4 linked regions of the Drosophila melanogaster genome follow. The protein of the gene in region 4 interacts with the protein of the main gene of each other region in a pairwise test. Each region holds a gene or a part of one and is shown on either strand. Other genes may lie near its edges. The genes, in order: Pex14, CG9133, CG12081 and CG31140.

Region 1 (6,949 bases), on a different chromosome or scaffold from region 4:
ACTGCGTGAGGCCTTCAGGCCACAACGAGATCGGGAGCGTGAGCGGGCTGCAGCTGCGGCGGCAGCAGCTGGGGTAACCTCCAGCCAGCAATCGCCATCGACGCCCCCATCCGCCGCATCCACGGCTCCAACAACCAACTCCTGTACGATCAGTGGAGTCAATAGCAACAGCTCATCCACAGCCACTACAACGAGCACAAGCAGCAGCCCGTCGCTGACCACAACATCGTCCTCAATGTCGCCACTGTCCCCGCACACGCCCACCGGGAATCCGCCGCCACAGTTTCCGATGACCATCAGCAACACCAGCAGTAGCAGCAATTTGGTGGCCGCCTCGCCCACAATGAGTGTGCAAAGCGATTGCTCTTCGCCCTCCTCGTCGACGATGTCTCTTTCACCGGCTCCTGCTTCGGGCGGCTATCCGGATGGAGTGACATCTGCCACAGCGGCAGCGGTGAGCATTACGGCAACGACTACCACATCGGCTGCTGGAGCGGGATCTGCATTTGGCCAGGCCAATAGCATCAGTAGTTCCGCATCCACGCAAGCGGTCATCAACTCAGCCGTCTAGATTTGATTCTTTTTGGGATCTTGCTATCCACACATGGTTCTATTTTGTCCATACTATCTGTGCACTTTCTGTTAGCATAAATTAGGGTTACATTTGAGGAAGAAAAAACCAATTGGGCCTGAAGCCACACTAGCGGCCATGCTCCCAGTTCTGAGGTTTAGTTTTGTGTAATCGGATGATAATCGCTTTAATTTAAACAAACGCGGAAGCCAAAGGGATGGCAACTTCTGTTTTTCCGAAAAAGTACAACTATCCAATTCCGTTTTCAAAATGTATCGTTGGAACCAGGAAAACGCATATACATATTACGCAATATTTTGTAATTTCTTATTTTAAAAACTTAATTTGTAACGTTACACATCGCTCGGTGTTAATCAAATGATGCCTGTCCGAATGGTAAATTACGTTTGGGTCAAACAACAGGCTTTAAAACACTAAATATTTTGTTACACATTTTTGTACTTCTTGTCAAAGCTTTAATTTTCAAACGTACACATTTTTGTACTTCTTGTCAAAGCTTTAATTTTCAAACGTACACAGTGCTCGGCCTTTGGCAGCTGGTATTGCCCCCATCGCAAGGTATAATTAATTGTAAATATGTTATATTTAATTTGAAATAGCTGATAAAAATGCCGGCCTGGCCGCTGTTTATCTTATACGATTGTACCCAACAAACAAGGGCCAAGCTACCCAACAAAAGACTCTAATAATGCATACATAGTATGGGTAGGGGTACTGTTCTCTATCCTTGTTTCAGGGTATTTCGCAATGGTTTGTCCATTCACAAAACGAAGTGAGAAATAAAGAACACATTCATGTGAACTGTGAAGCCCTTAACAATCGTTTGTGAGAATATTAACTTACTAGAATACATTAACTTTTACGAAAATGGCAAACAATTATTTGAATACTAAATTATCGTATGTACAAATCGATAACTAACGTAAGTAGTGAAGGAAATTTAATGAAGGGAATGCGCAGAGAACCAAATTTGTAATTGAAACAAAACCATAACTAGGCACCGCACAATAAATAAATAATTTAAATCCGTTAAGGATCTGGGTGGAGTCTTCAAGGAGCTTGTAGGCAAAACCTCGAGGTGCTCCGCCCGGCATAATCTTAAATCAAACCTAAGGGAATTTAGCCAATTTATAGAAAGTAGCACTCGGCAAAATTTTTAGAATCCAATTATCGTCTAAGTCGAAATTTATTGTCTAAACCGATATGCTATCCCCACCCCGTATGTACCGATAAACAAAAAACTACACAAAGCATTTTTGCGCTTAATTAAACAGTTTCTTTCAATTCAAACCTGTTATTATGTAAACTTTTTATTATTACATTGTATAGACATCGTATCGCATAAGTGTGTATATGTGAGTGTGTGTATGTACTTTTGGATATGGATTAGCTGTTGACTATAAAGAAACCTTAAATGCTATAAACGCAAAGAAAAAAAACCAAAAGTCTTGAAGGCATTTAACGGGGAAACTCAATTTACAGCGTAACTATATACTACGTCTATATAGCCAGCCTCGTATTCTGATTGCATTACATGATCTCCAAGCTGGAGTCACTATTCTTGGTGACCACCTCTGTCTCCGACGAGCCAGACCCGGATCCAGCATCATCGCCCTTCTCGTTGTCGTCCGACCCGCTGTGCCGGTGATGGTGATGCGGTGAGCCGGCCAATTGCCAGGCGGGAATGGATGGCACTGCGATCGGAGCCACAGGGCCGGCGAACTGTTTTCGGTTCAAAAGCAGGCCCTTAATGGCATCCAGATCGCTACGGAAGTTACTAAATTCGCGGTTCAGCTGCTGGGCGTGTTCCCTTTGCTGTGTGGTGATCAGATCCCTGACCGCCAAAATCTCCTTGTTGAGGTCGTTGGTGCGGGTCTCTACCTTCTTGTCTATGTCGTCCAGGACTTCATCGACCGCCTTCTTCTTGGACTTGCCGAACAGGTAGGGCGCAATGTATTGCTGAAATTATACGGGTTTTAGAAGTTATTAGCAATCATGGACTTTGGACTGGTGGACCACTTAAAACTTATTTATGCGTCCTAACACTTTTACAAAATGTGTTAAATACTAAGTAAATTCAACGTCGTCTGGTAAAAGTGTCATCAAATATATGTGTAATGTATCTAAGCCTTAGACAAGATGGCGATCTTTAAATTCGCACTCGAGTTGGTGGAGTAAATATAATAAATCTTTTTAAAAGACCCCGAAATAGAGATCCCACTGCATCTCACCTTCCAGAAGATGTAGACTGCGTAGACGACTCCGCTGAACAGGGCTGCCGAATGGATGATTTCCCTGATCCGGCCCAAGACAGTCGGCTGCGGCTGCAGCGCGTGCAATTGGGATCCAATGCTAATGACGGTGTTCGGATTCGGATTGGGCTTGTTGGGGTCTTGGGTGAAAACGCCGGCCCGTTCACAGGCCAGCTGAATTTCGTGAGCGGTGAGACCTTTGGACCGTAGGAACTGCTGCTTCTGGATAAGTGTCGTGTGGCGCACCTTGGTGTTTTGTAGAAAACTGACTGCAGTGGTTATCTGCGGCGAATAGTCGGATTATAGATTAGGCAAACTTGAAGGGGTTGAACAAATATTACCAGCGATTCTCGAGGCAATTGCTCATCTACGCCGGCCTCGACATCGTTCTGCACCGAGGTAGCCGTCGCCATGACGGTGGTGTCCCCAGTGTCCGTGTTGTTGCTGGACATCTGTATATCGACTCTTAATTCAATCTTGCCTAGCTAATACACACGAAAACGGAGTGAATCCGAATTCACGAGCAATTCGATTACAAAGTGCACAAAAACAAAAGTGTGACCAAAGACTTTGCTGCTCTCGAAATTACTAATGCATTAGCGTTTCTAGGGTTATTATGTATAACGTTAAGGTAATTTGTAACGTAATAAAGATTTGAACTTGGAAAAATGTTTTTACCGAAAAATTTGGTAAGAAATGTTTCTATTATAAAGAACATAGTACCTGGGCTAAAATTTTAAATGCATAATATACCCAATAAAAATATACTGCAGTATAAAGAATCAGGAAACTTGAATTAAGATGCCGAGACTAAACAAGCAAATCTTTACATTGAAGAACATTAAAAGGGGCTATGAAAGGTTGGTGGCAGATATGCCAAATGTGGTTCTTACAAATTGTGGGTCCTTAATTATTAGTTTCTTTTTCTATGACGTGTAAGCACCAATGTGGTAAAATTTGAAAGTGTAATGGCGATAAGCTCGTGACACTGGTATTTGGTATTTATTTTTGTACCAATTTTATTAATCCAAAGCGTTTAATCAACGCTCTCCGTGCTTGCATTCATATATGTATTCATTTTGCGTCACCTTCTATTTTGTGTTGCATGAAAGCACTAACGCCTTGTTCAAAACGCCAGAACACCACAACTGCACCGATTTGATTACCTGTAGACCGAAACACCTCATTATTTTTATTATTTGGAGGAACAGACAATATTTTCCGGATATAATGGACACTCTGAAGGGCATGCTGAAGGCGTACGAGGCGTGGGTGGGCAAAAACCCCGACGTGGTGGGGGATTTTGAGACCACAGCCAAGTGGGTATCCTACTTTATAGCAGGTAAAGTGAACTCCTTGCTTACATAGAGCCTACAGACTCATCTCATTGGCCGGCTTCCAGGTCGCATTTCCTCATCAAATGTGGTCAGTGAGCTGGTATATACACTGTCAAACATGCTGGTGTTCTACAACGACCGGATCATCGAAAAGGCACGCAATTCCGAGGAGAATTCGGTGATCCACCTGCAATCGAAACTTTGCTACCGTCTAAAGGTCACGTTGACGACGCTCGAATATAGCGAGGTTTTCATCGAGATATCAGCCCGTCGGCTTTTCGGTCAATCCGGCAAGTGGCTGGTGATAGCGCTAATACAGGCCTTCAAGGCAGCGGGCCGTTTCTTTATCTTGAAACACTCAACCTCGGATATAATCACCTCACCGCCCATCGCCGCACTGAATCGAAGGGCCAAACAGAGGAAGAATTCGGGGGATGGTGTGGCCTCCTCCACGAACGATTTATTGCAGTCCCAGCACTCCATTACCTTCCAATTGAAGCGATCTGGCCGTGTGATTCGTAAAGTGGAGGGTGCTCCTCCCCTGCAATACCGCGACTTCAAGCTTCATATAGACAACAATGAAGCGGCGAAGACGCAAATTCCGAGGAAACTCCTGCAAGCAGAATACCTGTATATATCGAAGCCACTAATCCACCTGGTCGCCATGGGGCTGTTCGGCCGGAGAAGTTGGAAGCAATATATGGTAGCATTATCCATTGATTTGTATAGCATTCACCTCTACCGCCAGCATCGCGACCTAATGTCCAAGCAACAAAAACTGGAGCTGAGCAGGCGATGCATAAACATCATGTACTTCCTGGTCCGATCGCCGTTCTATGACAGCTTCACCAAATCCAGACTGGAGCGGATCCTCGACTTTGTGGCCACAAGTGTGCCCATTGCTAAGGTGGTTGCCAAACCCCTTAAAGATTACATTCCCACGTGGCAAAGCACTTACTTCTATCTGTGGTCCACTTAGGCATTTCAGGTAGAGCGTTAGTATTCCCCTAGGCTAAGTTTTAAAGTTACAGGTGTGGACGCATTCGGAGTGTTGAGGGTGGGTTGAGTTTTGGTCCTTGAAAAGTTGTTTGCACAATAAAACGATGGAGTAATTTTCGATATGTTTATAGCCAACTTTCATATTCCTTGAATTGACCCACCCACATGGCATTGCCGCTCTTGAGGTGAAAAATGATTATACATCCCAATTGCTTTGTATGGCTTTTTAAATTATATATGGAACAATATTTATACACATACAATTAAACGAAATTTTCCACTTACATCGCTAACTATACATAACAATTAATCGTAATCGTAATGGGCTAAAACACACAGAATCAGAACTTCAGACTGAATCCCGGTCCCATGGCCAACTGGCGCTGCGTTATTCCAGCGTTCAGGACAAATCCCGTGCTAGCCGACGATCCACCAGCTCCGTGGCTCTTCTTGTTGCCAGTGATAATCCCAGATGAGAGCTTGTTTCCCGGTCCCACGATGATGGGCTCGTCGCGGCCTAGTTGCTTGAACTGCGAGCCACCGGATGGCGGTTTGGGGGAAGAGGCTTGCGCCTTGCGGGCTCCCAACTCGCTCTTGGCCGGCCAGGTGGGAAACATGGATGGATCGATGGGCAATGGCAGCTCCTTGAAGAAGCCGTGCTTTAGTGCCGCGTCGGCGCTCAGTCTTTGTTTCGGATCGTACGTCAGCAGACCCTGCAGCAGCGACAAGCCCATTTCAGAGGTCTTCTCCTGGAAGTGCTTGCGCAGTTGCGAGACGGGATACTCGGTAAACTGAGAGTTCTGCGACAACATGTTCTTCACGGCTGGGAGCTCGGTGTATCCTGGCCAGATCTTCTCGTTCGGAGTTCCCAATTCCTAGAACAATAAATCAAAAGTCAATAAGCATTCTCGGCAAATGAATTTCAAAGTTAATACTAACAATTGTTCAACAAGCTTATTTTAATAACTAAACTTTAATGCTCAACCACAGCTTACCTTAAAGATCCTGTTAAGCTCATCGATTTCAGATTTTCCCGGAAAGAGCGGCAGCATCTGCAAGAATTCGGCGAAAATGCAGCCTACCGACCAGACGTCTATGGGCGTGGAGTAAACCGGCGAGCAGAGAAGGAGCTCGGGTGCACGATACCAGAGAGTGACAACAAGTGAGGTATACTTCTTGATCGGCGATCCATACTCCCTTGCCAATCCGAAATCACCCACCTTGAGAATGCCCTTGTGGGACAAGAGGAGATTGGAGGTCTTCAGGTCACGATGCAATATCCAATTGTCATGGAGGTGGGCCACCGCCCGCAGAAGCTGCTGCGTCAGACATTTGACTTCTCCGGGGAAAAAGCTCTGCTTACGATTTTTCATCGTTTCCATCAGGGATTTCAGGTCGTGTTCTACATAGTCCATCACAATAAATATCTTATCCATGTTGGATCCGACCACGATCTCGCGAACGGTCACAATATTCGGGTGCTGACCCTTGAGAAGAGTGTTGATCTCCCTGAGTGATGTTATCGGAAATCCCTCCTTTTCCTTCTCCATTTTCAGACGCTTAAGAGCCACAATCTCATTGGTTCTTTTGTCCTTGGCTCGATATACCACTCCATAGGTTCCCTCTTCGATGCGGTTTAGACACTGGAATTCCTCCACAGACCGGCAGCCCTGCACACCGGGATAATAGTTGGGCAGGGGAATGCCCTTGTCATCGCACGGAATTTGCTCCTCCAGAGACTTCTGTTTCTCTTTGAGTTTCTCCTCGGG
Region 2 (9,312 bases), on a different chromosome or scaffold from region 4:
GCCGAGGCAGCGACGAGCAGGGCCATGTTGCGAACTTCGTAGAGACCGAGCAAATAGTGGAGTTCAACGGGCAGCTGACTGGATTCGTGCAGACACGAGGCAGCATGCCCTTCCACTGGCACCAGCTGCCCAATTTGCGCTATAAGCCACGACCCGTTCTGGTGCCGGGCAAGGATCATTTGGCCGCCTGCGGGCTCCACTTTAAGGAACAGATCCGGCTGTATGGCAACAATGTGGCTGTGAATCTAGTGGATCACAAAGGTGCCGAAGGCGAGCTCGAGGCGACCTATGCCCGCCTGGTTCGAGAAATGGGAAATCCACAAGTGCGATACGAGTCTTTCGACTTCCACAGCGAGTGCCGTAAGATGCGCTGGGACCGGCTGAACATACTCATCGATCGCCTCGCCCATGAGCAGGATCAGTTCGGTGTCTATCATGTCTTCGACGACGGCAAATTGGTGTCCACGCAGACTGGTGTCTTCCGAACGAATTGTATCGACTGTCTCGATAGGACGAACGTCGTGCAGAGCATGCTGGCCCGCAGGTCCCTCACTGCGGTGCTCCAGAAGCTGGGAGTGCTTCATGTGGGCCAGAAAGTGGAACATGCCTCCGACATTTTCGAGAGCATTTTCAAGGGCGTGTGGGCGGACAACGCGGATCTGGTGTCGCTACAATATTCCGGAACGTGTGCGCTCAAGACCGACTTCACCAGGACGGGCAAGAGGACCAAGTCTGGTGCCATGCAGGACGGCAAGAACTCGCTGATGCGCTACTATCTGAACAACTTCGCCGATGGCCAGCGGCAAGACAGCATCGATCTTTTCCTTGGAAAGTATCTGGTCAACGACAACGAGGGCGGTGCCGTGCCATCGCCGCTGGAGTCGAAGCATGGCTGGCGGTTCTTCACCTTCCCCTCGGTGCTGCTTGTGGCTGTGGCCATGTTCATGATCACGATGACCTATCCGGCCGAGTTTAACACGGAGAACCTGCTGTTCATGCTCTTCTGGGGCGCAATGATCGCTGTCAGTGCCACGGGCATCCTGCACTACGGCGTCGAGTTCGTGCAGTGGCCGCGGCTTTTTCCGCCCATCTCCTTTCGAGACCCATGACGTTAGTGTCGTCTAGCAGAGTCACTGGGAACTACCTCTGCAGCTAAACTGTCCCATTGCTCCGAGAAAGAACAATTGTAAACCAATTCTGTAATCGATTCGACTTCCTCTCAATTTCTGTTTTGTTTTATTCTGTTTTTGTTTAGTCTTAAAGCCCCCCCCAGTCCATTCCCTTCTGCAACTTGTTAGTCATTATATACACAGATCACTTACACTTAGGCGAGCTTCAGGCGGCTGGAAAAGGGGAATGATTGGGGTTTCGATCGGGAAGAAGTGGAGTTGTGAAGGCGCCGCTTATTAACTGCGATTAACTGCAATGTAGATCAATCACTTTTGTAGAACCATTTAATGACATTAAATAAAGTATTTTACGCATTGCTAGAAAACCTCAGACCGGCGTCTTTCTATCTACTTGTGGAGGTGAAATGTAATTAATGATATGGGTATATGGCGTTTATGACAACCATAAAAGATGGCCAGTAAAGGTTAAGAGTACAGGTTACCCAGAGGGTGTTAATCATATAAAGAATGTCATTGTTGATATTTTAGTAGGAATGCAGAGCTCTTAGCTTTTTATTTATATATTTTGAATCGTAGGCAGGCCTTTTACATTCAGTCGCATAGATCCATTTCGAAAATCAGTCTTTCCTTTTCGGCACGTCGTCAAAATCTGAATTCAAAATTCAACATATTTATTTTTCGTCAAAATTAGGTTTCAGTGACTGAAAATTTCTAAAAACGTTTTCAACACATAACAAATTCTTTGGTATAGTAATTTTGTCAAATTTCTAGTTTTTAAGCTTTTATATGAGAATGGACAAGTCGGAGAAACGCTCTAATCTTGCTGATAACTTCCTGTATATGTTGGAGTTCATGGTGGACGATCTGCTGATCACTCGTCCCAACCTCTGCGCTCCGGAGGAGTATCCCACTTGCACGGAGATCACGTTCCGTTCGGTTTTCCTGAACATCCGCGATCGGGAGAACGGAAGCTGTGTCAACCCCTGTTCGCCCAAGTGCGGCAAGTGCACCCTCTTCACGCTGGAATCGCCGATCACGGACGAGGACGTGATGCACATTCACGTTTACAAGAAGCGCACGGAGAGCTGCAAGTTCCTGCTCGGGCTGACCGAGCTGCCGATGAAGCCGATCTTCGATAGGGTGAAGAAGGAGTTCTATTCACAGAACATAAACTGGGAGAGTAACGTCGAGTCCCATTTGTCGCGAATGCCCAAGCTGAGGGGCCCCTGCAAGAAGGCCAATGACTGTGTGTGCTACGAGAGGAATAGGGAGCGGCGCGAACAGTGGTGTCCCACCTCAGAGCTGACCAAGCGGATGCTGCCGCTCTTCAACCTCTGCAAAATGCAGACGGGCAATATAGTGCTGATCCTGAGACTGGTGTGCAATGGGCCCTCTGTGGTATCCTCCTTCCCCGTCCAGAGACCAGTGTGCAAGGATCCCTGCAACTGTTGCTGTCCTTGCCCGCCCACTTGGCCTGCTCCCTGTTCGTCGCCATTCGATCCCTGCGATCCTTGCAAGACCGTGCCAGCCAAGAAGACATGAGTAGGAAATGCAGCTGCGAGCCTTTATATTCCGTACTCATTTAGTTGCCATAAGCATTTTTATTGTTTGACAAGGGATGCGCCTAGCAACTGATAATCATTCGCATATCTTAACTATAAATAAAGTATTTGAATAATTTTTATACCAATTCTGGTGTTTCAGTGACTTGAGGAGGCTATTGTCCATTATAATATAATTTAATATTAAAATTTATATATATGTTAGAAATAAGACCTTACTAGGCATTTTAGGCGTAATAAAATCTACATACAGACAGACTCATCTGCCTAAAAGACAATCTTAATATCGAAAATCAAGGAATCAAGTTTTCAAAATTCATCCGATTCCAGTAGCCCTCGCAAATCCAGTCGGTTTAGCAGTTCGAACACCACAGTCTCCCCGTCTGGACGGCCATTCAAAATCAGAATCTAAATTCAAATTTACTCACAAAATTTTTGGAAGTGCGAGTGTTCGGGCATATAAATTTCTAGTTTCGACAAAACAAAAGCCTAGCCAAAATTATTTCCTTTGAAAATGGACAAGTCTGATAAAACTGAGAAAACTGAGAAATCCGATAAGTCTGAGAAGCCAGAGAAACCTCCCAAGATTGCAGGAAACTTCCTCTACATGTTCGAGTTCGTAGTGGACGATCTGCTGATCACACGCCAGAATCTTTGCGCTCCGGAGGAGTATCCAACCTGCACAGAGATCACGTTCCGCTCGTCGGTTTACGTGAATCTCTGCGATCGGGAGGTGGGCACGTGTGTTAACCCCTGTTCGCCCAAGTGCGGCAAGTGCGCCCTCTTCACTCTGGACTCCCCCATTACGGACAAGGATGTGCTGCAGGTGCATGTCTATAAGAAGCGCACGGAGAGCTGCAAGTTCCTGATAGGACTGTCGGAGCTAAAGGTGAAGCCCATCTTCGACAGGGTGAAGGAGTCCTTTGACATCGAGAATCCTGACTGGGAAGACGCCATGCTGGGGCACATCGCCCAGCTGCCCAAGATGAAGGGTCCCACCAGCAAGGGCCTCCTGGACAACTGTGCCTGCTACGAGAAGCTGAACGAACGTCACGAGCAGTGGTGTCCCACATCGGAGTTGTCCAAGCGACTGCTGCCCCTCTTCAATCTCTGCAAGATGCAGACTGGCAACATAGTGCTGATCCTTAGATTGGTGTGCAATGGTCCGACCATTGTGTCCACGTTCCCCTTCAGCAAGGTCTGCTCCCGCAATCCCAAGTGCCCGGAGCCCTGCTGCGGTCCTTGTGGCCCCTGTGGTCCCTGCGGCCCCTGCCCACCACCTCCCAGCTGCGGCTCGTGCCCACCGCCTCCTAGCTGTGGCCCACCATGTCCTCCACCCTGCGACCCCTGCGATCCGTGCGATCCCTGCAGTCCCTGCTGTGGCGGCGGAACTGCCACCGGCGGGCCCATGGATAAGAAGGGCTGCAAGGGCTCGTGTGCCCAGCCTCCTTGTCGTCGCTGTACAATGGTGGATCCTTGTGCCAAGCGAGTTGAGCCTCCGGCAAAGTGCCTCAGGTACTACTCGTGCAATCTGGACAAGCTCTGTCCCTGTGACTACTGCGAGGACGAGTTCGATAGAGGTGACTATAATCTATCATCAGCATATATAAATGCTTCCTTTTAATGATGTAATGTATATACTTCTTCCCAGAATGCCCCACTGTTCCCACAAAGCGTTGCAATCTCTCGCCGATCGAACAAAAGCTGCAGAAATGCGGTCCCTGCGGCGGAATTCCACCGTACCCACGCTTCATCCAGGAGAAGATGCAGGCCGAGCTCTTGAACAAACCGGAAAAGGATCCCAAGAAGGACAAGGATGGCAAAAAGGGTGGCAAGGATGGAAAGGACGCAAAGGATGGAAAGGGTGGCAAGGACGACAAGGGCAAGAAGAAGCGTCAGGCTGGAGGTGCTGTTTGCCGCGTAGGAGACGAGAATAGTCCGTCCGCCGTCTACGAAGACTGCGATCCTGTCTGCGCAGGAGTCCTCCAGGCGACCAAGAAAATTCGGTACAAGGAGCCCACTGTCAGGTGCAACGGACGGGAGGAGGAGTACGAAATGGCCTGTGATGAAGGTGAGCTCATATATGTATGTATTTAGAAAACGATTTCAACTGGGATTTCGAGAATGCCAAGTAGGCTTCGAAATGAACAACAACACAAACGTCTCGTAACTCCAGCGAAACATTTAGTAACATCTAGTAGTCGGGGTGTAGAAGATCACTCGTTTAGCATTTGTTTTATACATTCGAACGGGAAATGTTGTCTGCCGCACAAAATACAGAAAAATAAAATCTTTCGTTGTTGTTACCCGAGTTTTGGATGGAAATTAAAACAGAGAATCAGTACGTCCGAACTATTTTTTTTCCTATCAAGTTAAAAAATTTTCGAAGCGATCCACTAACCCAAATTCAATTTTCATTTCAGCGCGAAAACGAGCTGTGCGGAAATTGCGCCACTTACTGGTGAAGTACAATATCCAAATTGAGAATTGAAGGCTTTCGGAATTGAGATTTCAGCTTGAGCCTAGTGAATAATTGTATTGACTTACACACTCAATCACTCAACCGCACAACATGGCCAAGAAGAGGGGAAGAAAGGGCAAGAAGGGCAAGAAGCCAAAGGTCGACTGCAAGTTCAAGATCACCAATGAGATGCTCAAGCCCATGAACGAGAGTAAGTACACGCGGATCCCTGCACCGAAGCTCGGGCTTAAGGATGATTCATCCCTTCCAATTGGTATCCTCAGATGTGGACGACTGTGATGGCTGCTGTCAGTGCGCCTGCGATTGCGACTGCAGTCCGGAGTTGGCTCCCTGCTTCATCCAGCCGACCAAGCCGGATCCGGGTCCGGAGGCGTACGACGAGTTCGAGGCCTGCCTCAATGGCAGCGGTCTGACCATACGCGTACTCAAGAACACCCACAAGGTGGAGAGCGTGATGGATGGCAGCGAGACTGCGCCCAATCTGGGCGCAGGCGATGATCCCTGCTATCGCGATGACCCCAATGACTGCGAGCCCGCAAAGGAGTCCTGCCTGCACGATATGCTCCAGCGCAGCTCCTTCGCTCGCAACCACATCAAGCGCCGGACCGGCGGCCGCATCATCAACCACCCGAACATCCCCAAGGTGCGAGCCAATATCAAGTACTCTGGGAACGATGCCTGCGAGACCGACAACTACTACGTGCCCTTCTCGAAGATCAAGGAGGCCTGCGACTTCCAGGAGGCCAAGGTCGACTGCTACCGCCAGCGACTCTGCGGCGGATCCGATCCCATCGTGCCCGCGCACTGTCCCGTCCAGAACCAGCGATCATGTTGCATGCAGGTCGAGCGGAAGGACATCATGGACACCATGAAGGGTGTCAATTTGGACACAAGGCGCAAGGGTATCGAGGTGAGTCCATCCTATATTCATTTGCGCAGCACTGAGTGGCCTAAGGAAATCCATATTTCAAGAATGTTCGATCTTAAATCATTAACCACAATCGCCGATCGCCTCCGCATTCCATTTTTTAAGTTCGCCAGTTACGTGTGCGGATGCGGAATGTGGATCGATTGGTAGTCCGTGACTTTGCCCCCCTAAACGTTGTTGCAGGTGGTGCAACTATGCCACTTCTGCCACTTCGGGAAGGCTTTCGATTGCCTCAATTGTGGGGCAGTTGCGTAACATCTGCCAGCTCCAAGTGTGGAGCACTCTTTTCAGTTTGCGGTGGCAATCCGCTACAGCTTTTTTATTTATGGTAATTTCTGCGAAAGATGCAACGCGTTGCATTGAGACTATTTTGGTTAGCTGTTGCATAGTATCTAAAAAGATTTGTCGCTTTTCTTATTTTTCAGGTTTGCTACAAGACCTGCGAGGAGACCGACAGCGACGTGTTCCTAGTAAAACTGGGAAGTAAGGCCAAGTCGCAGCACAAGAAGAATACCATCGAGATCGAGCTGCGGACGCCCAAGCAGCCCGTAACCCTTCCGATCAGCAAGGTGACCACGGAGACCTATGTTTCCGAGGAGATGCTAACCGGTGGCAAGAAGGGGAAGAAGGGCAAGAAGGGCAAGGGCAAGAAGGGCAAGGGCAAGAAGAAGAAGTAGACCAAGAGATCCGTAGGCGGATCCCATTCCCATCGACCGGACTTGACGCTTACCCTTTCGGAACACATCCTTTGGCATTTTGGAAGCGACTCTTTGAAAATTCACAGCAGCAATTATTGAAATTTGGCTCTGGTACTAACCCATTCATATTAACCCGTCCAGTAAGATGCACGAACACTCACTTTTTCGACTAGTTACGTAAATGTATGCTTTTGATTGAATTAAAATTAAGAAAAAAAAAAACAATAATTCTAGTCCCATTTATGATTAGTTGATCTGATCCCTCACTGATTGATCTGATGTAGATACCCTAACCCGCAGTAATCTGCTTGCAAGTGTATATGCCCATCTTCATTAAGGGCACTTAACTGCCCAGTCAAGGCCGCGGAGGTGTTTCATCTGCAATTGAGGCGGGTCTAAAAATAGCCGACAAAACCAATTCGCGATGCAGAACTCTGATGCCGATCCGATCCGATCCGACCATCTTCATCTATTGCACACCTGTAATTAAAAGCCAGAAATCTTCGCGGGAGGGAGCATCGAGGAGGAGGAAAAGCCGCCGTTGGATGCAGCGGCAGCTTAGCGGTTTGGTCACTTTGCAGTGACTATACTATACGGAGAGGGAGAGATCCGAGAGACCAGAGATCGCAGATCGGGCCAGCTGACCGATCCGATCGGTGGCTCGGAGAGGAGTCGAGCGAGGAACTCGTTTTAGTCGCGTTCAAACGCTTTAGTCTGTAAGTTAACACGGCGAGTGCGAACGCAGGAAAGAGTCGAGAAATCGTGAAGCAGTGCCCCAGCCTAGATGTTAACCATTCAGCGGATCGGCCCCGAATGTGAGCAACTTCTGAGATCGGTCCACGACAGACCACAAAACCAGTGAGGAGAGACCATCCGCTCCAGTTCGCTCGATCCAATTCAATTTCTGCCTCTCGCCGCGAAAGCGGAAAGAAAGTGAATTGAGTGGAGTAGATTTGGGCGATTACTTAATCCGCGTTCGCCTCCACGACCAGGCATCGGACGAACACCGGGCTCCCAGTCCGAATTCGAGGGCGCAAATTAATGGCCCTCGTTTAGAGACTCAACCCGCCCCATCCAGCGTTGACAGTTGGGCGGAGAAAAGCATAGTATTTGAATATTAAAAACTAAATCCGAGAGATACCACAACATTTCCCCAAAACTTTGATAATTTAGAAAGCGAAGCTGCATACCAAATAGGCCCCCGATCTAGAGACACCCGAAAGTCCAACCTCCGACGGTCAGTTGGCTTTCAGTTCCAGCTCGAGATCGCAGGTTATAGCATACCACAGCCGACTGGCTTTCCCCGGTTTTCGGTTACGTGCATCCGAGAGGTCTCCGCCAAGTGCAGTTGCAACTTTTACTGGTGTCTAAGATTCGCGTGAAGAGTGCAAATCGGTGATCATGATCCGCCCCACACTTATCGTAGTGCTCATCTCACTGGCCAGTGTCGATTCCGGCCACAACTCACCCGTGACCACCATCCCGGTGGCCGAGCCCATCAGCCAGGTGCCCCACGGCTTCCAACTCGGCCAAAACAATCACATCAGCAGCAGCAGCAACATTAGCCGGAGTGGAGGCGGAAATGGCCGTGATAAGAGAGGTAAGTACTTGGCCCCTTTGAGCCACTTTTCCAAGTGCCCCCATTGTGGCCATCCGTGTCAGGGTCGGAGCCTCTCGGTCTCTGTGATGGACATCTTCGAGGGGCCCTCTCGATTGGTTCGCAAATACTAACGATTGCTCTTGGCCGCACTGCTTTGAATCGAGCCTTTTCCTAATGTGGTCGATGTTGGTGGGCATTTCAAGGGTTCTGCGCTTAAGGAATGCCCCGTCAATCACGCGATTAAAAACATAAGTAACATATGAAGTTCTATGCAAAAATGCATTCGCCAAGGTTTATTTTGAAAATCTTTCAAATCGAGTTATTTGTTATTAATAGTACAGATCATAATAGAATTCATAATGAAAGAGAATCGGATTTGCATAAAATATCTCCACACATTTATCGCTACTTTTTCTGCATAATACTTAAAATTCGCTAGCTCATCGTGCGATTTTCACATATGTAGTACAACAAAAAAAAAGCAGATTTCGGCCAAAAACGTACTGGCTGTTATTAAAATGCTAATTGTGTTTCCCCTGCACCATTTGGCATTTAAATATTTTAGAATTCATAAGCATATGACTGCTGAGCAGCGAATCCCAATCAAATAGATTCACTCCGGAGTCCAACTTTTGCACCGGCTTAATCTATCTACTAATTTTAAATATATATGTATATATATAGTTTTTGTGGAGGTGCGTTCAATGCCCATCTTCTAGATGCATAAATGTTCACAAGAAATCCAGTTTAAATAATATTTTTCTCCACTTTTTTGCTGCGCTGCTTGACTTTGTTTTTTAATCGGAATGCCGGCGACCTCAGAATATTTAATAAAATGCTAAAAAGAAGAAAATACAGACGTAATCAAAAAAGACGTCAAACACTATAGTGTTATTATGCAAAAACATTATT
Region 3 (7,307 bases), on a different chromosome or scaffold from region 4:
CCAAGTACTCGCTGTGTTCCGCACCTGGAGGCCTTGCGTTGCAACTACCACTCATAATAGGCAATTAGAGCGCTGCTGACCTTACTCTTACTGGCATTGCGTGCGAGGCTGTTGCTTTCAAGTGATTCGATGACTGTTTCCTGCCTGGAACACCGCGTTCAAGGGGAGTTACATCCACAATTACCATATATATATATATATGCATACACTGCCTAAAAGGAGATGATCTCTGTAAATTAGTTATAGAGATTTGTCACTAGTTTGACCGCAAAAATAGATTAGGTAATTCCAAGGTGAGATGAATACCTTGGCGGTTTGAAAGTGTCTAAATTAACGAAACGGCTGCCACATAGATCCTAATGCGAAAAGCAAATATTTAAACAGCCGACTCGTGCAAGTTTGGAGTTCGCAATGAACGGCCCACAGATTAATATAGTGTTAAGTTAACCAGCTATACAAAATTCAGCAAGAAGGCAAAGTAAACAAAACTGAATAATATGATTAATGAGTTTAAGATATTATATTCATTTTCTTATCGGGCATTTTGGCGAAAGGACGATTTATAAATGTTTCATCAACTATATTCTATACTCGCATAGTCATTATTATTGTGTATTATTTGAGGACGATTTATAAATGTTTCATGAACTATATTCTACATTCGCATGGTCATAATTATTGTGTATTATTTAGCAGCTATCAGAAGTACCAAAAGCAAGTTTCTAAAACTTTTGTAATTACTGGGGCTTCTCCCTCGTTCGCTCAGGTCCTCCATTCGTCATCTCTCCCGAAAGTGTTATTCGAGCTCCAATACAAAGAACCGGACTAGTGGCTCCGTGATTCAACACCATTTTTCCACCTCATTCCATTTTGTGGCAGTCGACTCCGGCTTATTCCTTACGGCTTTGGACGCTAGCCAGCTTGGTTGATGGGCCGGCTAATACTGTTCGGCTGTGTCAGCATCTGCAGGTCCGAGCGGAAGCTCCTTGGCAGCCCCGAGATGTCCAGCTGGTGCTTGAGCACCACCATGGTGGCCAGGGTTTTTAGAGTGGGCTCAAAGTCGAGCACATGCAGATCGCTGTAGTCGATAAGCGCCACACCGGGCGGAACAACTCCGCCAGCCGCTGCGGCTCCGCCCGTCTCTTGAGTGGGTGAAACAGCTGCCGGCGAGCTGGAGGAGCCGCTCCTTGGACTGGTGCCGCCAAACAGGAACATCCTAGTGCCCATCACAATGGCGCACTGTCTCCGACGCGCCGTCGGTGCCTTGCCGTTGGCCCGTATCAGGTTCCACAGCTTGGTGCGCGGATCGAAGGTGTACAGATCGTTGAAATGCTGATCCAACAGGCCATTATAGCCACCGAAGACATATATCAGCTTGTTGTAAACGAACATGCTGTGGCTGCGTCGACCAACGGGCACCTTACCGGCCGTGAACGGTCGATGCCACACCTTGGTCTTCATGTCCAGGTAGACGATCTCGTGACAGTAGGTCTCCTCCTGGCTGTGGTACGGACTGTGCTTATCGCCCCGCCCGCCGAAGATGTACATTCGCTCCTGTTCGTAGGCCACCGACGCATGAAAATCTCTGTAGCTGGGCGGCACGCCAAATGTCTGAACATAGCGCCACTCCATGGTGTCCAGATTAAGGGAATGCACATCGCTGCTGAACTCGTTGATCTCATCGACGAATCCACCGAAGATGTACATACTATTGCCAATGACACAGGCCGAGTGACCATCCCGCGCTCCGGGTAGACAGCCAGTGACCTGGGGCCTCGACCACTGCGCTGTCTTGGGATCGAAGCAGTAGAGGGTATTGCAGAGATTCTCGTCGTTGCGACCGCCCCAAATGTAGATGCGATCCTTGTAGGCCACCACCGTGTGTCCGTAGCGCTGGAAGGGCACCAGCGGATACTTGAGTGGCACACCCGCGTCGTCCAGCTGCTGGGGCACCAGAGTCCAGCGCATTGTGTGTGCATTCAGGGCGTGCACATCGATGGGCTCATTGTAGCGATAATCGTATCCGGTGCAGTAGCCACCAAAGCTGTAGATGAAGTCGCCCACGCCCACCGCTGCGTGATTGACCCGCTGTGGCCCACCGTCCAGATGCACCGTCCACAGCATGTCTTGGCCAACTGGATAAGCTGTGCGCTGTGGGCTGCGAGCCGTGTAGCACCAGTGTGCTGTGCGAGGAGACGGAGATCTTTGCTTTGGGCCCAAGCTGCCCGAGCAGCCCAAGCAGCCAAAACACACAAAGGAAAGCAAGTGCGCCGCAGTTGTCGCTCCTTTTGGGAGCGGGGGCAGGGTGGTGCGGGCGCAGGTGCGAGCAATTGAAGGCCACACAGGTATAAACACTGATACCAAGCGCTAGCTGCGCTCCGCTCTGCCAGTTTTGCCAGATGTTGAAACGAAACGAAACGGATCGAATTTTTGAACAACACAAGCACACAGAGTTGCGTGCGTGAGCGGACGCACGAAATAGCAGGGCTCCACTGGGTCGTGCTGTTATCGATATCGATAGTATAGATTTCTGATTGACAATTGCATTTAAAAAATGACAAATTCGAAAATCCAATGTATTTGCATTAAATATTTAGCTATTTTAGCGAAACAGTTGCAATGGCAATGTGCATTTACACTAGATTGATTTTTAAGATGAAGCTCCAAACAATGAATTAGAATATTCTAATGTCTTTGGTCAATTTACCTGAACTTTTTTTCACTCAATCACAAATTCTCATTGAATATTCTTAGTTTTTGCAAGCTTAGTTGCGATATTTATTTACTGTTGTATATATGTGTTTTTATATACGTCAAGTGTTTGTGTGTAAATTAGATTGATTGTAGTACAAAAGTTATAACAAAATAAATAACAAGAAATCATTTAATACAATATTACGCGAACATACATTATATATGATGCAATCTATGCACATTTTGGTTTACGAATAGTGGTCCCCATGTGTCTGGCCACAAAAAAATAAAGGGACGCCGCAGCGGGATTGGTACGAAAATTGGAGGCAAATCAAATGCTACGATTGCAGGGAAGGGGTGGGCGGGGGGGTTGGGGTGTAATGGAGGAAATGGGGTATTCGAAGCCCCGCCTCCTATACATTCGTGGGCGCGTCCATGCCGCAGATAACCGACTTAACCACCGACGCCGCCGAAATGGCAGCGAAGTTTTGCCACTTCCTGGTGGACGTGCCGTCCTTGTAGTCAGCGATGCCCTTCACCAGTATAAAGCTCTCTCTGCAATTGCCAATGATGCTGTCCAGCACGCTGCTCATCTCCACATCGGTGGCCAGTAGGCCGTACTTCCTGGCGAACTGGGTGCGCAGCTCGTCGCTCCTCACCAGATCCCTTCCGGATCCAATGGGACCCAGATGGAGTCGCAACCGATTGACACCGTCCACCTCGTCGGCGGCAATGGGATGGGCCACCTCGATCACCTCGTTATTTCCAATGTTCATAAACAGTTTGTCCGTCCGCGCGTCCGGCCGGTTGAAGTCGGCATCCGTCTTCTGGGCCAACGCCTGTTGGGCCTGGTTCAGGTAGTCCTCCCACGGCCGCTTCACCTGCATGTTGGCCTGCAGGCTCTCGGCGATCTGCTGCAGCGAATCGTTCACCGGGAAGTAGGTCTTCACGTCCTCGCCGCTCTTGTACAAGTACACGTACGGTTTCTCCTTGCTGTGAAGAGCCATACATGAATGCGATTGATAGATTGAAGATTTTATATTCGTGTAACTTACCTATTGCTGATCAGTGCCCGCTGTTTGTCCACATACGAGATGACCACATCGCCCAGTCGCACGTGCTTCTTATAGTCCGTGTAGTGGGGAACGCCACCGGCTACGCCCACGATGAAAACATAGTCGACCTTTTGGAATGTGCCCAACAGACGGGTTGTGGTATTGCCCGTCGCCGTCATCGCCTCCCGATTGCTGCCCACCGACGGGAGCTTGGTGCTCACGATCCTGTGCGCCCCGATATTGCCCAGAGTATACACATTCGATTCGCCTGTGGAGTAGAGAGAAAGTTTGGATCAATTGATTGGCTTACAGAAAGCGGTTTACGTTCAGGACATTGATAGATACATATATACCAAATTATACAAAGAGGAATGAAAAGAACATGAAATAAGGAACAAATCATATTTAAAAAAAGAAAAAGAAACACCAATTATAATTTTCCATACATCCCATATTCTTTTGCGATCAAAATACAAAACATAAACCAATTAATGAACCGAGTGTGTGACGGATCTAATCAATCCGTCTAATGACGTAGTTACATGTGTATATGTACAATATAAGGTCATGTATCCTGGGGCAATCCTTTACCATAACAACAAAACAAATGAAACAAAACAAAGCACCGACGACGATACAGCACAGACACACAAAGGACACGAAAGTTACAACAAATCGAATTATTCTAGGCCAAGTTCATAACTTTCTATCCAAGTTTATGGCAACTCATTCGCGTACAGTGCGCACTCGATACATGCGAACGCTCCATGTTCAATCGATTGCATTACTATTGTTATTTTTGATTCAAAGATGATTCTTTAGAGTATTAATGATCTAAAAAAAACTCATGAACTTGACCTTGGATATACATATGGGTGCTTCTGAGTTAAGGAGTGGATTCTGGACATTTAGCTTACCGAATCTTCGTTTCTTTTTGGACTTTCTGAGTGAGTTCGTTAGATTGGGATCGGAATCTGTTACATGGTTTGGTATTTTTCGATTCGGGGGAAAGGTGAAAGGTTTGTATTTAATTAATATCATTGCAGGCAAGTAAACATCAGCAAATTTGTATGCAAATTCATTCGTTTATGGCGAAATTTTCGTGGTGATGAGGATATATATATATTTTTTTTTTGTTTCCACAAAAGTCGAGGTATTTGGGATACAGAAGTGGAAAGAGAGAAACAGAGAAAAGACGGTTAGACGAGAGTTTGATTAGTAAGAGTTGAGGGAAATTCGATTCGCTATCGAACTGAACTGAACTGAACTGAACCACCTACCGACTGTGGTGTATCGGACGAATGTCTCCTTGTTCTCGAGCATTGCGTCCACGGCGAGCTTCTCGCAATATTGCGCCGTGATGATGGCAATGGTGGGCTGCTTGTTGGAGGCGATCGTGGGCATCTGCTTGACCACCTTAATCTCCTTGTCCTCGTGATGGATGCGAGTGTACGCATTGTACTCCATCGACTTGATCAGACCGCGCTCCTGCAGTGACTTGATCACCAGCAGCACATCCTGCTCGCTCCAGCCGTAATCCCTGCATTAAACAAAATGAATTAATTACATCTCAGGTCTAGACTTCAAACGGATCTTGATGTACTCACTTGGCCAGATCCTCGGGGGACACGGGATTGGGATATGCCTGCTCGATGAGCTCCAGCACCTTCTCCTGAGTCAACGGCGGTGATTCGAACTGCGATTCCTCGAGCGAAACTACGGGGATGAGAGCAAAGGAAACAACAAACACGATTAAAGCACAATGTCTGGGCAATTCCCGCTACCAATGGTTATACATTTAGCAAGGACTCTTCTGTTAGCGGGCAATGACATCTACTCTGAGCGGTGGGCGTGGCTGGTTAGGCGGTGTCTGTTAGTAAAGGAAACGCACAGGCACACGAGCACACACACACACAGTCAGACGGCTGGCAGGGCGGTCAATTAAGTGCTCAAGCAGCGCATTTTAATTGCAGACAGCAGACAAATTGGACACTCGAGATGTCAACTGCATTTTGAGGATAACTAAAGGGGTAGGGAATGCTTTCGGGAGTTTCAAACCAGCACAGGATGCGGAAGACAACAGCACAAGTAGAAAGACCAAAATTGCAGGGTATTATTTTTTCCGACAGATTTCCAAGTGTAGATTCACCACCTAGCTGAATTAGCAATGGAAACTCATGTGGCATCCTTGTGGATTTGGAGCAGTAACTGCAGAGCATTTGACACTAGCAATTTTATTTTATTTTATTTCGCTTTTTTACATATCCGTTCTTTGTTTTTCAATACTCTGAAGTGCACAACACTTTTTGTGTACATATTTAATGCGTTCTGTTTTTTTTTTTAGTGAGTTTTTAGTGCGTGCATTAGTACGAAAAGGAGAAACGAAATAAAAAAACGAACGAACAACAGGAAAGGCGGCGAGGAAATGTGCAACGAAGCGGATACAAAACGAAGTTCGTTGAGCGGATTGGATTAGATGATGATTAGTTGTGGGGAGCACTGGAGCAGTGGGCCATTGGAATCGGGATTCATTTCCGCCGGGCGCTCAGCTGCTCGGTGTACATGTCCAGCCAAATGGCCTTCATCAGATTGTCGCCGTCACCTGTCTTTCGCTGCGCCATCAGCGCCTCCTCGAACTTTCGGTTGCAGTCGCCGTAGCAGTAGATGATGTACCCATCCCGGGCTGATATCCAAACAAATAGAAATAACCACCCGCACAGCCCAGAGGATAGATGGAGCCATGTAGTTCAGATGAAAAGTCAATTTCGCATACTACAATCGACTCGGAAAGTTAAGTAAGACATGGAATTTGATATTCACCGAGCAAAAATGCATAAAAATAGGCTACTCACAATATGCAGTGGCATAAATTTGATTCAAATGGTACAATAACTCGAATATCAAGTTCCCTCTTATTACATCCGCATAGAAAGGAATAGGGTATACTCACGTGGTCGCGAGGGTGGTGCGGATGTCTCCTCCAGGATGCGCAGCTCAATCTCGATCGACTGGATCTCCGAGTATCCGTGCTGCAGGAGCTTCATTATCTTCTTGATGAAGCCCACGTAGTCTGTAAAGAGAAATAAAAAGCAAATCAAGCAAACCTAAAACTTCTCATAACCGCCTTCTTTACTTTGATAAGAAGTTCTGGATTTTCTTATCATATTTAATACAAGTAAACCATAAACCATATGTATACATTTAATAGAGGCTTGAAACCATTGGTTCTACTATCAAACCACAACTGCTTTCAAATCAATTCAGACCCACCTCTGGGAAAGTCCTGCGGACTGACCAGCTCCTTGAAGAAGTCCTGGGCTATGTGCGCCTGCTTCTCCTCGTTGGTCAGCCAGTCGCGGAACCAGAAGCGCAGGGTGCGCGACTCCTGCGAATGCTTGCCCGTATTGGCGCTGACCAGAAAGACGCGGAATTCCAGCGATAGCGCTGCCGCCTTGCTGGCGCTCTTCTGTCCGGCGACCGTGTCCTTGTTAATGATGATGCCCGTATGATCACCGCCGGCGACATGAACGCGATCATTGATCTCATCGACCAGTTTGC
Region 4 (7,680 bases):
ACAATTTGGAAAAGTTCAAACGCGCACACTTATCGGCCGCAAATAGCACGATGATGCCGCCCCTATGCCAATGCTACTACACACCAGATCTAGATGCTGCCACTGTCGGAGCACATCGACAATCTATACAATCTATACGATCTACACGATCCGTACAATCTACACAAATCGTAGATGACCCATTGGTCATGTGGCGATGACGTCGGGTCTGCCGATCACTCTGCACGAGGAGAACTTGTTTAGTTTCACAGGGAAAACGCAATTGTCGGACGAGGCACAGACCAATTGCTTTATTTTCGGTTCGGATAATCTACATTACTTTATTATTTTATCAATAGCAAACCTTTTCTGATAAATGTCAAGATATACATTCACCCAATTAAGTTATTAAATCTTTTTACTGATGCTTTGAACACTTCACATATACTATCCAAAATAATAGTAATCATTTCATGATAAGATTCCTATATTTCGCTATTCTGTGCATGTTTATGCCACCCACTACTGCCTCATCCTCATCGACATCATCAGCGGCCGCATTTTCATTCCAAGTTTATGGCAATTTAAAAAGTATTTTCAAAACTAGACGAAATGTATTTTTACATCTGCCGCTGGCGTTGAAGATGTTCGATGATTTGCGTGCTGCGTTTTCTCGGTTCTGTTTAGTGCTCATTAATTACAACTTATTTCTATTGCGGCCGTTGAGACTGAATTGAGAACTGATGGACGAAAGATGTAGTTTCATATAGAAAATTCAGTTTTAACGATTATCTTGAAGGAGATAATCCAATGTAAGATATGCCTTTCTGATCAAATTGCTTACGCAATAAATATGAATAAAAAAATGTGGGATATCCTGTGATCTCATTGAAAATATTTAAAGTACTTGTACTAGCTCGGTGCTTACCTTCGCAGATATATCCCTGCTGGATGAGGCCCCAGAGCAGATCCGAGCAGTGGTGACAGTATGTTGGCTTATGAAATGTCTTCTTCACGAATGAATGCCCACCATCCGCCATTTTGTTTGCCTGTGTCCGCAGCCCGCCCCACTTCCTGTCCTTCTGCTTCCGGTCTATCCTCCTGCGCCTCCTTGTGCCTCCTTATGCCCCGTTGCCTTATGCGTAGTGGGTTTTTTGTGCGTTGTCCTGCTGGAGGATGCTGTTGCAGCTGCAGTTGCTGTTGCGCTTGCAGCGGCAAAGGTCTCTCGATGTTGCAGTTATATGAGCAGTATTCGCGGCTGCTGCGAGTGCAGTATGTGTTGCAGTTGCAATATCGCCTGCTGCTGTGTATATGGGCTATTTCGAAGTGGGATTCTTGCGGTTGGGCAATTTAGGCCGCTGCTGCCGGTGCGGGCGTCGACGCCAGCTGAGCCAGCGCTGCCGTACCGACCGAGGGCGTTCGATTGGCGTGGGCGTGGCAGGACTGCTCCTTCTGATCCTGCTGCTCCTTCTGCTGCTGTTGCTGCTCCTGGTGCTGCTGGTACTGCTGGTGCTTTTCCGACTTTTCCTGTTGCTGCTGACAAAAGCGATGCGATAGTGACGACGGCGAAAGTGACGGCGACGACGGCTGCATTTTCATCCATTGGTCAGGTAGCGGCTCCCTTATCCGGACATTTGCTTGTCGGGATCGGTGTTTTTCCTCGCTTTGAACTTTATTTATCCTTACTAGTTTCTATATACATATTGGCTATGTATCATATTTGCTTTGATTCATATTCATGCATCTTTGGTTTGGTTAAGCGTTTTCGTTTATAACTTTCTTTTGGTGGTGAGTTTTTAACTGTTAATTATTTACAATTTCTGGCGCTGCACTAAACAAAATAAATTTGATAATTGCTTGTTAGAATTTATGTGTGCCATTTGAAATAAATAAATTCCAATTGAATTTTGTATATAGCACTGCACACACAGTCGCGGACACACACGTAGGCACACTTCACTCGGCGGGCGGTCTTCACTTTACTACTACCGAAAACGAACAGTCGCAGCAGCAGCAGCAGCTCGGAAAATGTTTTTCTTCGACTTCGCTCGTTCCTTTGCTTTTCCACTTTCCGCTTTTCTGCGCTGATACGTGGGCGCCGCACACCCCAAAAGAAAAAAACAGCAGAGCCAAAAAATGAAAGGAAAACGTTTCCCGATAATAAAATCCACAAGAGCGGGAGTTTCCACAGGGAAATGCGAGAGAGAGAGAGAGAAAGCTAGAAAGAGAGCGAGAAATGGGGCTGCGCGAGAGAGAAGGCACGCGTCATGCGTGGTGAGTTGGGTAAAAAAGTTCCCAGTATTCTTGGAGCATCATAAAAAAGTAGTAGACATCAATATAATAATAGAAGTGGCAAAAATATGATATCAACAGCGTGTACCGCAGGGAAAAGGAGAAAGGGAACCATAGGGAAAAGGAGAAAGAGAGAGTGGCACAGAAAGCGAGAGAGGGAGCTAGAGCAAACTGCATTGCTTCAATTTCTCCCACCCAAAGCGATTCTATCAATTTCCATAGCTGCGGCGCCCTCAAGTATGCAACATGTTCTGCGACGAACCAATTACCACCGCCACCCACTTTCCCAGCACCACCCCCTCCCAGCCAAAGGCCGCCCACCGCCAGCGGGTATGGCCAAGGACAATCCAGTCAAATATTATATCATACAGGTCCTAATAATAGACGGAAACAAAGGTAACGACACTTGAAGTTTTCAACTTGATGACAATAAACGATAGCTAACGGAAGGCGCACAAATCCGCATTGTGTGTATACGCAAAGTTAAGGTCGGCATAATGGCCCTCAAGCACAAGGATCTTGGTCCTTATTTAGTGTATATGACATGTTTTTAGCATTGATTTTACATCGAATTATGTCCTAAGCTCATAATTCTATAACTATCTATTGTGACAACAAGATATGAGTTTCCTATTGTTTAAAACCCTCAAATTTTAGTTCGATATTCGATCCTATCGAATATTGATATTAACGCATCGTTTGTGTGCGCAGAAAAGCACCTACACGAAATTATAGTAGTTATGATGACTTAAAGCAGATTATAGATGGAATCAAGGAATATCTATAAAACTGGAATCCACATACGCAGTTACTTTCTATAAAAAAAAGTTGTTAACCCTTGAAGTAGAAGTACTGCGAACTTGAGAAATGAGTTGTGAACTTGGACTTGACGGTACTATTATTTGCACCGCAACTGTGAGTTTGGAGCCAGCCTGACGACGTGGAATGTCCAGGACCCGTTTCCCGTGTCCATATATCCTGGCCACCAGGCGATGTCCTGGCGACATGCGCACTCCGGAACCCACCACACTCGCTCGCGCGAACTCAACTCCACCACGACGGAGCGTTTCAAAGAAAGTGGCCAAGTTTAAGGATAAATCACAACGAGCAATATTTTTGCAACAAATGCGTTGAACGGGCGGCAATTTGGGGGTTGGGTGATGAAAACTTTGCGGCTTTGCTTTTCTTAGGGAAATTATTGTTTTGTTTTGGGCTGGGAGAGGCGCAGAAGCAGAAAAAACGGAAAATTATGGATGCTAATGGGGGGCCCAAAAAAGCGAGATATATAGATTTCAGAGGCTGTGTATACACACACACTCTACAACTGTAGACAAAGCAGCCGTACTTCGTACCCGTAGTGGCGCCCACCCAGCCCACTGACGCCCCCACCCCTTTCCCCCTCTGGACTTGCCACCCACTTTTCCCACCCAATGCTGCGCGCTTCGCTCTTTTCGGGCCGCATGAGCAAATCGCAATAGATAGAGAATTTTTTTCTTTCTTTCTTTTGCTGGCGCGGCTTGATTCCTTGCCACCACATCTATATGTATGTATATATATATATGTCTGATTGGTATATATATGCGAATATATATGTATCTGGACGGAGTGCGTGTGGCCTTGTCTTTTTCCATTTTCATTGCTAATCACACGAAGGAGTTAATTTGTTAAAACTTTGGCTTCGGATGGGAAAGTGGGGCCTGGAAAACTCTTGGTACTTGGCACATATGACAACGTAATTTTCACGCGCACACACACACTCGCGATTTTGGAGAGAGAAATTTTATGTACCATACATTTTTGAAGCTGCAAAATTTTGCACATTCGATTTTCACACTGCCACTAATGCTGCCTGCTACTGCTGCTGCTGGCGCTGCTGCTTTTTCCTTCGTTTTTCTTTTCTAGCCGCACTTTCGAATTTTTTTTCCTTCACCGGATGGAAAATTTTCACACGCACAGCAATCGAGTTAAAGCGAGTTTTTCGCAAGTTTTCATCGCGATTTCCCCCGAGTTTTCCACGCGTTTTATGCACTTTTTCGCTGCGAGTGTGTGAGAATTTTCCTGTGTGCTGGCTGTGTGAAAATGGAAATCCAGTGAAAATCCGCAACCGTTACGTACGGAAGAGCACACCTAGCTGCTGTGTGTGCTCCGCTGAAGACGATGGTGCGCTCTGCGGACGGGTCTGCAACTTTCTCGCGGCGCAGCGCCTTTATCGCTGCCTTCGCCGCTGCTCCGCCTGGCGCTCTCGCTGCGTCCCGCTCGCACACGCCGTGGGGCCAATCGCGCCCTCTCGCTCGACGCTGAGTGTGTTGAGTTCGCCGAATTCCTGTGTGCGTGCGTGCCCAACAACAAACAGGGGGAAATGTTGGGGAGCTCCCGTTAGGGAGAGAGCCAGGTCGCTCTCTATCTCTCTCGTTCGCAGTCAGGATGCTCTCTGGCGACCCCCCCTCCCCAAATAAAAATGAAATCAACAATTTGTTGGTCGGCGAGCTGCCAACTTGGCCCCAAAATAAATGTGGCCAAGCTAAGAGAGGAAATTGGCCCAAAGAACGACCATTATTTTAAATTAAGGCTTAATTGAAGGTTAGAAATGTAGGTTTTTTGAAAAAAATGAGTTTTACATTCAATATTAAAATCAGTAAGAAAATGCATTTTCTTATATTTTATAATTTAAGTTAGTAAAATCTCATAAAAACGAACTTTTCAAAAACCATTGCCTACTTTCTTGTGCTTATTCCGCGTCATAACCATGACGTACTATTGTCCCAACAGAAAAGAGTAGTACTGAAATATAAAAACTCTCACGCTCGATACCATCTTTATTTGCAGCAAAGAATGCATAAAGTAAACAGAGTTTTGATTGGTTACTTTGGATACAGCAATTTTTATATATTTATAGGGCTTTTAACTTACAACTATAGAGTTGAGCACACCGTCGATTAATCGCATCGCTTTACTTTGCTTATCATTAAGTTAATCTTTACAAATATGAACGTGTGTGAGCAACCGATATTGATGCTTTTTTGTGAAATTAAATGTATTGCAAATTGCATTTGCCAAGCGAAATTAGGAATAGGTTTAACAGCACTTCTATACACAATGTTTTTTATGCTGACACAGGGTGGTTAAATTACAATAGAACCGGTATACTTTTGGGTTACGTTAAATACACATACAATTAAGGCGACTTTAAATGGGTTCAATATAGATAATGCCTTTCTGGCGTTACTTTTGCATAGAGCCAACTTAGCCCAGGCCGTGATCGTCGAAGAAACTCTGCGGGGTCTCATCCTGGAAAGGGAGAATGCTTAGCTTCAGTTACATGTTACTATACTTTACAGCGCTTGGGGTAAAAGGAAACCAAATAAAAGTATCGATACTGGGGGCTAACTATGAAAAAGACTATGAAAAAGGGTGGTATATAGTAGCAACTAAAAACGAAAGGACACCAAACGGGTGCGCTAAGCCAGACATATAGGTAGATAGACAGTTTAGAGGGAGTGGAGCTCAGAGATCAGATCAGTGGAGGTGGAACAATGTGGGCGTCAAGAGTTTAGAGCAGTCAAATTGGTCAGTCACAACAACAGCAAAGACAACAATCAAAACTAAACGTTTAACAAAGACACTAAAAAGAAAACTGAGGTTCACCAGGTCTTACCATTTTCATATAGCATACGAGTACAATTAGGATTTTTTTTTCAAAAATACTTGGTTTTTATTTTAACTTGTTTTTCTCAGTTACAAAACACAGAAAATTTGGCTAAAACGTACAACACACATACATAAACATATATATATATATATATACTTGTAGATATAGATAAACTAGATTTTTTTATTCGGTTATTATTACAATTTTCAATTATATATCGTTCTCATTTAATCAACATTAAAGCTTACATGTTTCTATTGTAAGAATAGTATTGCATATATTTCCCCACTAAATTAGTTATTGCCCATTTGGTGATTGATTGGAATGATCTTTCGATTATAAAATGTAGATAGGAAGAGGAATATTAATTCAGTTCAGGAACCCCAGGTGGAACTACGTGAGGTTGGCTTGTTTTGCATGAACTTTTCTGAATCTATTGTGTCTGTGCGTGAAATTTACGAGATAGAGTGTATGAAAAACCGCATACCAGATGCTCTGATGTTACTATATAGTATTATTGCTTTTTGGAGCCTCACGCTGCTTGGCGTCTTCTTGCTTATAATTTTTTTTTCAGCGCTTCAGTGCTGTACAACAGCCAAATCACACACTAGTGTTGAGGAGTGGATGGAGCAGTGCTGTAAAGTGCCAAGTGCAGCACACGTTATCGCTGGGGTGTAACTGTGTGTGTTATTGTGTCGGGGTGTGCGTGTAATATCAACTACATAATTTCTAGGGTGTTCTAGTTCTTTAGAGGAGTCCAATGTCTCTTAAAGTGCCCTCAACGGCTTCGTCCTGGAGTACAGAGAATAAGAACAATAAGAACGAGAAGAGTAGAAGGAAAGAGAGTAGTAGTGGTAGTAAGAGTAGTAGGTGTATGTGTAAGTAGAATGTGTCCAAAAAAGAAACCAATTTCGATCTTGTTTTGCTTTTCTTTCATGTACGGCACAACTTGGAAACACGAAATGCATATTATATGGATGAACATCACAGCGCAGCGCGGGGAAGGCAGGGAAATAGAAGCTGGGCAATATACACATATATATACAGCTGGACGAAGGATTGACTGATCTGACCTATCGACTCTCCACTAACTCTTTGCAGATCGGGAATATAACTTTATGTTCTTTACACTGTTTCTTTGGGATGGGTTTTCTTTTCTTCTTGGTATTTATTTATTGTTTTCATTGATTAGTTGAGATACTCATTGAAGTCCTGTGGTGGTTGTTCGTGGTGGTAGTAGTTGTGTTAACATCGATATATGCAGTGGCGGGTAGGGTAAGCGTTAATAATAACAAGAGAGAGGGTACATGGGTTACACATTTATATATGGCTTATGGTATGGCAAGAATATGTTTAGTTGAACATTAGAAATTCATCTACAAAGGTCATGCAAAATAATCAAGCCAACTACGATCGACATATTGCTACAAATCGGGTTAGGAGACTTACAAGAGTTACGGTCACAAAATAAACACAGGCTAAAAATTGTACTATAAATGGCAAACAAGGTTTTAGTTTTTGTTTTAGTTTTACTGCACAGCAACATCTATGGCAAGTTCAATACTGTGGCGATTTAATATTTCCTGGTAGATTCTCACAATTCACAATTCGTTTTCGAGTAGGCAAGTTTCGAAACTCAAGACGGCATGCAAATAAAAAAATCGATTGAGTGCGTGTGTGCCAGCCGAGGTGGTTTACATCAGATTCGGAACTTAAAGATAATGACAACGCTGCTGCAAGGACACACACGCACACTGGAC

The links.
Region 1: the proteins of CG31140 (region 4) and Pex14 interact in a two-hybrid assay, tested with the Drosophila melanogaster proteins (one large-scale study listed by BioGRID).
Region 2: the proteins of CG31140 (region 4) and CG9133 interact in a two-hybrid assay, tested with the Drosophila melanogaster proteins (one large-scale study listed by BioGRID).
Region 3: the proteins of CG31140 (region 4) and CG12081 interact in a two-hybrid assay, tested with the Drosophila melanogaster proteins (one large-scale study listed by BioGRID).

Annotation. Positions count from the first base shown.
Region 1 is NT_037436.4:20,775,280-20,782,228, reverse strand, and holds Pex14 (peroxin 14), read right to left. Parts: upstream 3,431-6,949; 5' UTR 3,297-3,430; coding exon 3,186-3,296; intron 3,127-3,185; coding exon 2,824-3,126; intron 2,552-2,823; coding exon 2,123-2,551; 3' UTR 1,851-2,122; downstream 1-1,850. Other genes in the region: Pcif1 (phosphorylated CTD-interacting factor 1), read left to right, coding at 1-571; Pex16 (peroxin 16), read left to right, coding at 4,075-4,186, 4,247-5,160; pitslre, read right to left, coding at 5,522-6,055, 6,176-6,949.
Region 2 is NT_037436.4:1,248,961-1,258,272, forward strand, and holds CG9133 (uncharacterized protein), read left to right. Parts: upstream 1-3,051; 5' UTR 3,052-3,206; coding exon of another isoform or gene 3,207-4,272; intron 4,273-4,343; coding exon of another isoform or gene 4,344-4,763; intron 4,764-4,892; exon of another isoform or gene 4,893-5,033; intron 5,034-5,115; coding exon of another isoform or gene 5,116-5,183; 5' UTR 5,184-5,264; coding exon 5,265-5,364; exon of another isoform or gene 5,365-5,406; coding exon of another isoform or gene 5,407-5,437; coding exon 5,438-6,084; intron 6,085-6,527; coding exon 6,528-6,779; 3' UTR 6,780-7,026; downstream 7,027-9,312. Other genes in the region: Sac1 phosphatase, read left to right, coding at 1-1,109; Bfc (booster for Crq), read left to right, coding at 1,917-2,672; CG9130 (uncharacterized protein), read left to right, coding at 3,207-4,272, 4,344-4,763, 5,116-5,183; tfc (triforce), read left to right, coding at 8,202-8,400.
Region 3 is NC_004354.4:8,583,968-8,591,274, reverse strand, and holds CG12081 (uncharacterized protein), read right to left. Parts: upstream 2,465-7,307; 5' UTR 2,125-2,464; coding exon 913-2,124; 3' UTR 501-912; downstream 1-500. Other genes in the region: CG12065 (uncharacterized protein), read right to left, coding at 3,108-3,687, 3,750-4,017, 4,667-4,723, 5,030-5,289, 5,357-5,465, 6,295-6,432, 6,700-6,819, 7,020-7,307.
Region 4 is NT_033777.3:23,959,930-23,967,609, reverse strand, and holds the start of CG31140 (uncharacterized protein), read right to left. Parts: upstream 4,431-7,680; 5' UTR 4,387-4,430; exon of another isoform or gene 4,377-4,386; intron 1,811-4,376; exon of another isoform or gene 1,806-1,810; 5' UTR 1,020-1,805; coding exon 908-1,019; intron 1-907. Other genes in the region: AP-1sigma (adaptor protein complex 1, sigma subunit), read right to left, coding at 6,668-6,712.